Linked DNA regions of Drosophila melanogaster. The protein of the gene in region 2 purifies or fractionates together with the protein of the main gene of each other region. This does not show direct contact. Each region holds a gene or a part of one and is shown on either strand. Other genes may lie near its edges.

Evidence for each region.
Region 1: the proteins of CG5541 (region 2) and caps purify together in Drosophila melanogaster (affinity purification with western blotting; one large-scale study listed by BioGRID). This does not show direct contact.

The regions. Positions count from the first base shown.
Region 1 is NT_037436.4:13,226,765-13,231,696, reverse strand, and holds the start of caps (capricious), read right to left. Parts: upstream 3,006-4,932; 5' UTR 2,557-3,005; intron 1-2,556.
Region 2 is NC_004354.4:15,042,193-15,047,397, reverse strand, and holds the start of CG5541 (uncharacterized protein), read right to left. Parts: upstream 3,276-5,205; 5' UTR 3,115-3,275; intron 1-3,114.

The DNA.
Region 1 (4,932 bases), on a different chromosome or scaffold from region 2:
CAATTACCTACCATTTATGTTTACCACCACACTTGCCACATCGCACAAGGCTCCCGAAAAATATTGCCCCATGTTAGCCAACATAATTTGCCCAATCCTTGCATAACTTTTTCTAATCTTACCGAATTTCAGTCATCGCAATATGTTTATGTTTATGTCTAACGTGGAAGACATCGTCGGCGTCAATAATTACAGAATCGAAGATATATATATATATATATGTACATATACCCATATACCACACATAAAAAGAGAAAGATAGAGCGGGATGCCAGCTCCCGCATCTCTTGAGTTTTCCTCGACTTTTTTGGGGCAGGCACGCCACATGCTTTTTAACCTTGATTAAGTTGACGTTCTAATGATGCTGCTAATGGTGGCAATGATGTTCTTAATGATGATGCCACTGATGATGATGCCGCCGATGGGATGGGGCTGCTGAAGATGCTGCCGCAACATCATTAACAACATTATCAGCAACAACAAAGGCGGAGGAAAACTTCACGAGTATTTTTTGTTTTTAATTGCCGCCTGGCACTTAGCTAATGTAATTTATATTACATCTAGCTGCCGCTCTAAAAGCTTTAAGTAGCTAAAAAGGAAGAACCAAAACACCAGCAACAGCCAAAGTGCAGCATCCAAAAGTCTTGGAGGTTGTAAAAAGAAGTGTGAGCTCGCTCGAAAGACGTAAAGTTTTGTTTATATTTACCTAACATTGTACTTGAAAGATATTTTCGTTCTTTTCTTTTCTCTTCCACCTTTGGTTCTGACTCAATCGCTCTGCCCCTTCTATTTGTTTATCTAATGGCTAAAAAATATTTAAGCTGTAAAATTTGTAGCTCTCTGATGGCTAAAACCTGCTGCTTATTCCTTCGGTTTCCTATTTACGAAGGTCATAAATACCTTCGGGTCAGTGAGTGAGAAGTAAAAGGTTCGATTTCGACTCGGAATCTACTTCATCCTGAAGTCTGAAAACAGTTGCCATAATTTCAATTTATGCAAAAGTGGGTGTGGGGGCGGAGTGACCTGTCCCACCTGCCCCGCATATTACCTGGCTTTTATCTTAAATGTTTTTTCCTGTTGGTAATTAAAAAGTTTTCTGTTTCAGACCCAGCTATGTACATAGCTTCCCCTGCTCAGTTGTCTGCTTAGCTAATGCAGGTTGGAAGTTTTCGGCTTCGGCCTTGGCGTTTTCGGGCCTGATAACAACAGAGAGTGGGAGCTTTAATGAGTGGGGATTTGCTTTAAGATTTCGCCTCGAGGTTGTTCTCAGATGGAGATAATGAAGGTCACCAATAGAAGATGGAAGCACAGAGTGGAAGGCGCAACATAAAGATAAGCTCGTATTAAAATAATACAAAATCGTTTCTATGGGGATGATCATCATTGAAATAGTTTATAATGTCGGAATATTGTTTATAAATACACAGTAACTCTGAAACCCATAAGGTTACAAAGCTTATTTGGTTTAATGCCGCTAAATATTTTTGTTCTTCTACAGCCATTTCCTTGAAGTCTTCTTGAGTTCGGTCCAAACTGTATACACCTTTCGAATTCCTCGAACTTTAGTACATCCCAGCATCTTAGACTTACGCCAGCTCACGTCTAACCCATTCCCAGTTGGCCAGGCCAGTGGGGCCAAGTTGACATTCCTCAAAAGTGTCAACGAGAAAGGCCCACAACACGAGACATTCGGACCGCTCAGCCGCCCAGTCGGCCAGCTGCCCGAGCCTCCAAACTGAGCCCCACCTCGTTCATTCATAAAGATCCACATCTCCATAAAGAGGGGCAAGCAAACACGAGTCCAGGCAGCACCTAACAAGTTCCCGGAATCGCACAAACCTCGAAAAGTTCTTTAAGTTTTTCGCTCTAACGAAACCTGTTCCCCAGACAGAAACCCCAAAATTGAGACGGCTGGCCCTGGACGGAAACTCCGAGCGAGTCTGCGGCCCGAGACATAATTAATGATTTCAAAATTTCACAACGAAAACTCATAAAACTTATCGATCGAACATTGAAACAACAGCAGCAATAAAAGAAAAGAGAATGTCATGCTGCTGTCAAGGCGTTTTTCTGGCCTTAAAGAGCTTCTTCATTAAGTGTAACGGTAATATCTGATAAGGTCAATCTTTAGTTATGCATTTTATCCTGTTTACACACTATTTTAAACAAATTATAGTAAAACAACCAATTTACGCCTTAAACTAGCTATTTTTTAGCTATGTAGCGTATGCTCTAAAGTTATTCATATGTGAGGTAACGTAAATTTGCTTAGATTATTGATTAAAATTCAATGGTTATCAATCAAAATATTACTAAATTAGCCCTATTTCAGTCTAGTTGTATAGCAATATTCTCTCCATCACTAAAAACCATTTTTCTTCTTTTTCATACTGAATATCAGTATTTTCTTCTAACTATATTAAAATATATTTAAAATGCTGCGCACCAAAAACAAAAAAGTAAATATAAGGTATTAACTAAACTAATTAATATCAGTACTAAACTTAGTAACATCACAGCACAGAATAATAATTAGGCACCAAACGAAGGACTTACCGCGATAATTTTGGCAATTCGTGGCTAGTTTGTTAGCACGCACTGTTGTCAAAACAAAAATGTTAGCCCAAACACAACGTTAACCGAAAGCACAGCTACAAATCTTTGAGATACTATTTGGCGGATAGTCTCCTCGCTTTTTGTTTTCATTGATGAAGAAGCGGCGCGGGCATTTCATTAATTCTGCACACACGTTTCGCCGATGACGATTGACGATTGACGATTTTGCTATTTGCGATGACCCGCGTGCCCCGCCCACAAAAAGCAAGTTGCCCGCACAACAACAACAGCTACAACAGCGACCGACCGATGGTGGTGGTGGGTGGGAGAGGAGGTTGAAGAGAAGGGTGAGAATTTGCACGCGCGAATCTGCTGAGCTGTCTGCTATAAGGAAATAACGGTGCGCTCCACAATGTGTCCAAACACGTTCACGATTTTTTTCGAACTAACGCTGTATTGTATCTGTGTACGCCACGAACTTCAAAACCTCGATTCTCAGCCGCTGTTAAGTGCCGAAGTGAGCTAACAGAACACGAGAGCGGGAGAGCAAGACCACGAGGCAAACACATACACATACGAAGAGAGTGTGATTGTGTGCAACAGCACGAACGCATACTTCGGCTTTTTGTGCAAAAATCATATGGGATGCTCTCTCGCTCAGATAACGGGGCTTATCTGAGCCGGCAAGACTCAAGTTGGATTCTCATTGAGTCAGATAAAGTGAGACTGGATGGTTTGAAACCACGCTAACTAAAATATCATCTCAAAGGACTGAGTTTTGAAAGGATCTAAAGTTATATTGTATAAGTATTGTTATCCAGATTGAATTAACATTCAATCATATTTTGTTCGATATATACAGGTTTTCAATAAAGAAATAAAAGAAATTTTCATACCCTTTATCAAGTACCCACGAAAGTTTTGGCTATAAATTCATTGCAGAGCCTAATACAATTTCTTATCAAGCCGTAAACAAAAGAAAATCTTTGATTTTCCATTAGTCCTATCTCCCCCCATTTTCTATCCAATAAGATGTCGTACTTCCGCCGCCCACAGCTAATTAGCCTTCACCGCTCACATTGACCGGTCCCAATTAGCCCTGCCCATAGAGGCTCCAATAAGTTCATTGCTCGCCCAGCACACATATGTAACTTTCTTATCAGATGCGATGCTAAGTAAAATAAATAAATAAAAAAGAACCAACAACAACGACATGTAAATCTGATTTTTTGGGAGCGGTTGCAGCAGAGACACCAATAACGCCTAAAATGAATGCAAATGGAGCAGTCAAAGATAAACAGAGAGGAAAATTGAACGGAGAACCGGCACCACTCTCTCGCTCTTAGATAAAATTCCCAACTCGATTGGGTTTCCACCAATTTTCTCTCTCGGAAAACCACACGCGTTATCTGGCTCTCTTTCATAGTTCGCCTAAGCGCGGCTAGATGGCGCCAATGTGCTGCCGAAGTGCGAATTGCATTTCAGATGCTTTTTGTTTACCAACGAAAAAGTGGGTGGTGTTTGTACGGTGAAAGGGGGGAGGGGGGTGTCGGCAAATGCGGTTGCATTCTTGGAAATGTTTGCAAAAACCGTCGCCGGTTTGCTGCTACCACAAATGCCGCGTAATCACTTTTTGCGACTACGTCGACGTCACCGGAAGTTGCAACACGTCGCCGTCTACGCACACAAACGTAAAAACCTACATACGATGCATATGCCGTTAATGCCGAACTGCCACACCCCAGCAATTGCAAATTTCATCCCACCCCATGCCAACGCCTTGCAAATTTTCAAAAAAAAAGAAAATCGAGGGGGAAAGAAAGTTGGGAACCTTCGGTGGAGTTGAGTTATCGCTCGCAGTTTCATTGTACGCCCCCCACCACCCACAATCTTTGCACTCTTTTTGTGAACACATGTGTGAACAACTGCAGTCGGCAAACCACCCTTTTACGTACACTGAGAAAAATATCCGATATATTCTGCAAATTAGTATTGGCCACGTCTAAAAATTTAAAATTCAAAATTTATTATAATGAAAGAAAAATTCTGTAGTCCAAATAAAATCAATTCTTTTGTTAGTATAAGTAGTAGCACAGAGTGCACTCTCACATGGTCGCAAGTGCAATTTTTGTTTCAGTGTGATTGCTGCTGCCCCCCTGCATCCTCGGGCGGCGATTAATCATGAAAATTCACACAGAAAATATCCATTAGATACGAATTAAGACATAATTGAGAGTGCAGGCAACGTACACGTACACTCAAGAACCTGCAACGAAAATGCAGTGGAAAGGGGTGGCAGGGGGTTGGTGTTTTCCTCCCCGTGTGCAGCGACATAAATGCGAGAGGCTGCCTCAAGTGCCAGCGACATATTTATGA
Region 2 (5,205 bases):
TTTTCAAGTCGTGGACGTGGACGAGGGTCTAATTGAATCACAACACCCTCTCCAATTGTGATCACTTCGTCAGTAGTTTCTCTTGCCCTCCAATCACCACCGTTTCCTCCATCCGTTAATTGAATTCTGAGGCCAAACTCTGGACTGAAAATCTCTCTGGCCCTGGAAATGGGTCTCTGATGGTAGCCCGAACATGAGCAATTATGCTTTGTTATTTGTTTATGGCCATTTCGTTTTCCCATTTGTTTATAGAACTCAATTTGCGCGAGAGGAAAATTAAGTCGTGTCGAGAGTTGAGTCTCCATTTCGATCTCAAGTGGCAACTGCTTAAATATTTGCGCTCGAGTCGAAGAATTCGAGAAACCGGCACGAATGGGCATTCCAGAGGCTACAAGTTCAAAATCATATACGATTGTGCCAAGTATGCCATAGAGCTGTATTCGTATTACCCATTTAACATATTCAAACTGCAGTATTTGAAAATGTTTTGTAAAAAGTCTACCTTTTAAAGGGTACTTTTGCAATTTCATTTGACTTTGGTAAAATATATATTGTCAAGATAATGTCTAAGTACAGTGGAATTAAGATAGTGGAGGACAAATGTCTCATTGCAAACAAGGGAAATATATATATAAAGTCATAATACGTTATTGCCCACTCTAACTATGCTGCTTCATGGCCCGGGGCCTTAGAATTCCGGATGCGCCGCAGACGCGGTGGCCAACCCTTTGGGGTTGAATCAAGTGACGTTCATTGAGTTGACTTGCGGTTAGGAAATTGAATTAAAGCGCAATTGCATTTCCTGCCAAGTAGAAAGTCGCGCACACGCACTGTAAAATCCGTAGAATCACTGCCCATAAAAACCCCCCTTGGACTACGCCCCTTAATTACGCTCAATTAGGCGGCAATTATGATATGTGTATATAGTGCTTTTATGTCCTATTATGTCCTTTTGGCCCTAAAATCTATACGCATTTAAAATTTAAAAAAAGCACACCTTTCTTAACAGAATAAATATAATTAGTTATGTGCGATAAGTTATTATCATAACTTACTATTACTAAATCCACAATCCTAGTGTCTCAATTATGACAGCTTGTAAGTGGAATTGTGCAATATTGCAGTTAATATTCATAGGCTTTTCAACGGGACATTAAAAATCATTAGGGATTTTTGCAATCATTGGGCTCTAGCAATGCTTTCAAATTGAATGTATGTACACGTGTGTATGCTACATGTATTTTGGCATATTGTTAACGCCACTATCGTTATTTTGGCCACAATCACTTGTGCCAATCATAAGTAGCACATTTCATCGACTGTACAATGCAGTGCAAAATGACTTGAATTTAATCGAGGCCTAACTGAACAAACCGAAAGCTAGTCTTGCAATAAACTGCTTCACATCGTAGTAGTAACTGGGTGGAGTGCCGACGAACTCCATTGATTGCCCGATTCGAAACGGTTTTTGAAACGGCACTATCTTATCACCACCTAGTATCGGTAAATTCGATAAGATAACTAAATGAGTCGGATTGCCTCACCACCTCACAATTGACTCAACTCTCGCAGGATGACACATGTGTATTTTGTTACCAGTGCTTTTCAAACGTATTACTCCATGCAGTTTACACAGCCGAATGGCATTAACGGTAAACTTAATGACTAACTGGAGTATTTATGTCTGGGGAAATCAGTCATGGTGGAAATTTGCGAGTTAAAGTTTTACCTCGATATATCGAACATTTTAAATTCGTATTTTATGCATAAAAAAGGATGTAACTTTTGTTTAAGAAAGATTGCTGTTTTCATTTCCTAAAATATTTATATAAATATAAATAAAAATGATTAGATACAACTTTCATCAGACTTAGCTTAGGAGTATATTCCAATCTTTTTGAATTTGCCATTTTCTGCGTTCATTCTAAATGTGTCAAACAATTACCTACAAGCTTTCCAGCGATTAAGCAATTCTTATCTCTAGCAAAATAGTCACCAACTTTCTTTCAGAGCCCGAAGTTCATTGTTAAAAGCGAAGCTAGGTTTGGCCAAAGGTCCAACCGCCTAAAAAAACGAAAAAGTAGTAGTACGTAGAATGCTGAGGGCACTTGACGGGGTTAATGTTTTTAGCCTGCTCATTGCTTTCTACTACTTGAAAAGCGGGCATTTGCTTTGCTTTTTTGTTCTGCGCCACCTCTTTCCATACACTTGGCACAATTTTCGATCAACATTTCGTAAAAGTAAAAGTTCCTTAAGTGAAATCGAACTCAAAATATAAATTATACCGCTAAAAATCCTAAAAAGGTTCAAAGAAAACCAATTTAATTTAGAATCCGAAGGGATTATTGAATTTGTATAGAACAACAGTGATTTGTTTCTATATATAGTAAGGATATCCAATTAACACCCAAAAGGGTTCGTTTTTCAGAGACTTGACTGTGGCCTGGAGCAAATTTCGAATACCTTTTTGTAACAATGACTTTGGGGTTGGACTTTTTGCCGATCCGAAACAGTTTTTACGACAAACGCCAACTAAAAACAGATTTTTATTTAACGTTTGCTTTTCTCCGACGTCATTTAACCTTGAAGTATCGAAATACGATGATGACGAGCAGCGGACATAATGGATATGGATATATGGCAAGGTGTCTGCCAATTTAAATACGTATATACATATGTACATGTATATTTTATTTAGCAAGGGGGCGTTTGTTCACAATTCTACACTGCTAATTTATATTCCCCTGGGGGAATTGCAAAAAAAAAAGCGAAACAAGAATAAAACACAAGAATGGAGAGATGCTAAATTCTTGTTTGGGGCTTCGGTTTGTTTGTGTTCTGTTTGTTTTGTTTTGATGCGTGGGCTGTGATCACAAGTAACAAAATCAGGAGAAGAGAGCTGAAAAGAGGAAAGAATTCTTTCTCTCCGTTTATTTGCATTCTTTTTTGGCTTGCCCAGCAGATTTGCAAACAGTTTTTCCTTCTCTCCCTATTACTTTTTTTTTATTACTTTGAACTTTATGGCTGTTCCAGAAACGCACACACTCTTGGCTTTTGGCACATATGAAAACGATGGCAGCACCTCAAAAAAATAAGTGTTGTATTTAAGCGCACCTTAGTCGCAAATTGCCCAAGTAAATAGTCGCATTTATGTATTTATATTAGCTGCTAAAACTAAAAACACGCGAGCGGTCGGTCAGGCGGTTTATGTATTCTACAGCCTTGTTTTTGTTGGGCGGCCAACCGGCGTAAGCGCGTGCAAATGACAAACTGAGCGCCAAAGCGGCGAACGCCAAACGCGAATGCCCAACCTCCGGCCAGAAGTCAGTGATGCTCATTTGGCTACTAATGTGCCAGAATTTCATTCGACCTAATGGGTCGAATTAAACTAACCAAGGCACTCAAAAACATGTTAGCGAACGTTCGCTACATAATAAATTTTCAATACGAGTAGCGCCTACAACTATTGTTAAGCTATAACTATTATAAAAGTAATTTAATTCAGTCCGTTCAACTAGTCGTATGTGTAATTTGTCACCACTACGGCGTATACGTAATGTTTAGATGTGACTTTCAATTTTGTTTAGCGTTTTTCCGCCACTTTCGGCGCTATCATCACTGTTGTATTCTCCCCTTTTGTCGTAGATTTTTTAACTGCTCTCTGCGCTCTTCTGAGCGGATTTCAGTGGAACGAGCGCCGCTTTGGCTGCGGCGATTTAGCGGCTGCGTCTCTCAAACGATCGCCAGCTCAAAACACTCAAAACTAAACCAAAAAATACCACACAAAAAGGTGAAGAATTTTTGCGTTTATTAGCTGCACAAAATGTAAAACAAAATTATTTGTTCCTTTTGAACGAATTTTTGACTTTCTACTTATAAGTAAATGGAATCCAGAAGAATTTTTGGTACTTCCCCTCGCTTTTCTGAGTGTATGTCAAGTTAAAGCTGAGCATGGATTTTAATTTAAATCTGTATCTGAATTTCTTGCACTGCGCTTAATTGAACGATGCCACGCATTACTTGACACTTTTTAAAAAGCCCCCGCAAAAAGCGATGAAAGAGGGGCCAAAGAAGAGTGCAGAAGAGAAGACGAGAAAAGGATGGGAAATGGGGAGAATGAAGAGGTGGACAGTAGATCAACACAAATCAAATCAAATTTACTCGATGGCAACTGCAAACATGGAGCACTTAGCGGTTCGCTTTTCAAGATTCAGGCTATGTAAATATGTACATATGTATGTATGTAAAAACTAATGTGACGAAAGGCTCCGCAGATAAAGCGGTTTGTAATGGCACTATTTACCCTTTTCCACATTACTATTTTAATTTAAAACGGATTCCCAAGTTGCGTTACTTCCATATCTCAAGCTTTGAATAGGTGAACTCATTCCTGTATGCGAATAAATAGTATGGCAAATTGAGCATTTCATATTTATGGCTGTTTTGGAGAATTTATTAGCAAGCAAGCGATTTAACTTTTTGAAATGGATGACTGTGAGGTAATTCGGTCATAAATATGCCTATTCTATTTAACAAATGTATGCTGCTTTTTGCTAACACATTCCTTTATGCCTGCACTGAAATGATTAAAAGTGTAATATACCTTCTATATATTCTTGACTTAAACATGCTAGTTTAAAAAACATAACAAATTTGATAATTTTGATATTTTTTGGAAAATACACTTTCAAACGAAAAAAGAACGCCCTTTCATACCAATTTGATGCACTTGATTTGGTTTTCTCGCAGTGTGGCGTTTATTTTGATCAAGCTGACTGACTGACTTACTGACCATATATGCACATTAATAACTCGAAAAGGCTTTTAGAACGCATTTGCATGGCAGCCGCGGCTGCAAAAGCCGCAACAACGTTTAATTCGCAACGAAACAGCTCGTCGATCGCGCTTGCAAATCAAGTTAAGCAACATTTCAAAATGCAATTTCAGCACACCCGCCTGGCATTTTACTTGGGCTTTGTCTCTCTGTCTTTGGGATTCAATTTGATATTATTTTCAGTTTTTGTTTATAGTAGCCGTTTGTTCGAAACAGCTAAACAGCTGTGTAAGCCAATAGAGATTAATATTTATGTACATATGTATGTATTGGCGAGTGCTTTGTTCGAGTAACTGAGAAGTCAAATGGCCATTTGATATGCCACCCTCTGGATAAAAATTGTATAAATGGGTTCTAAGGTTTGTTTATTG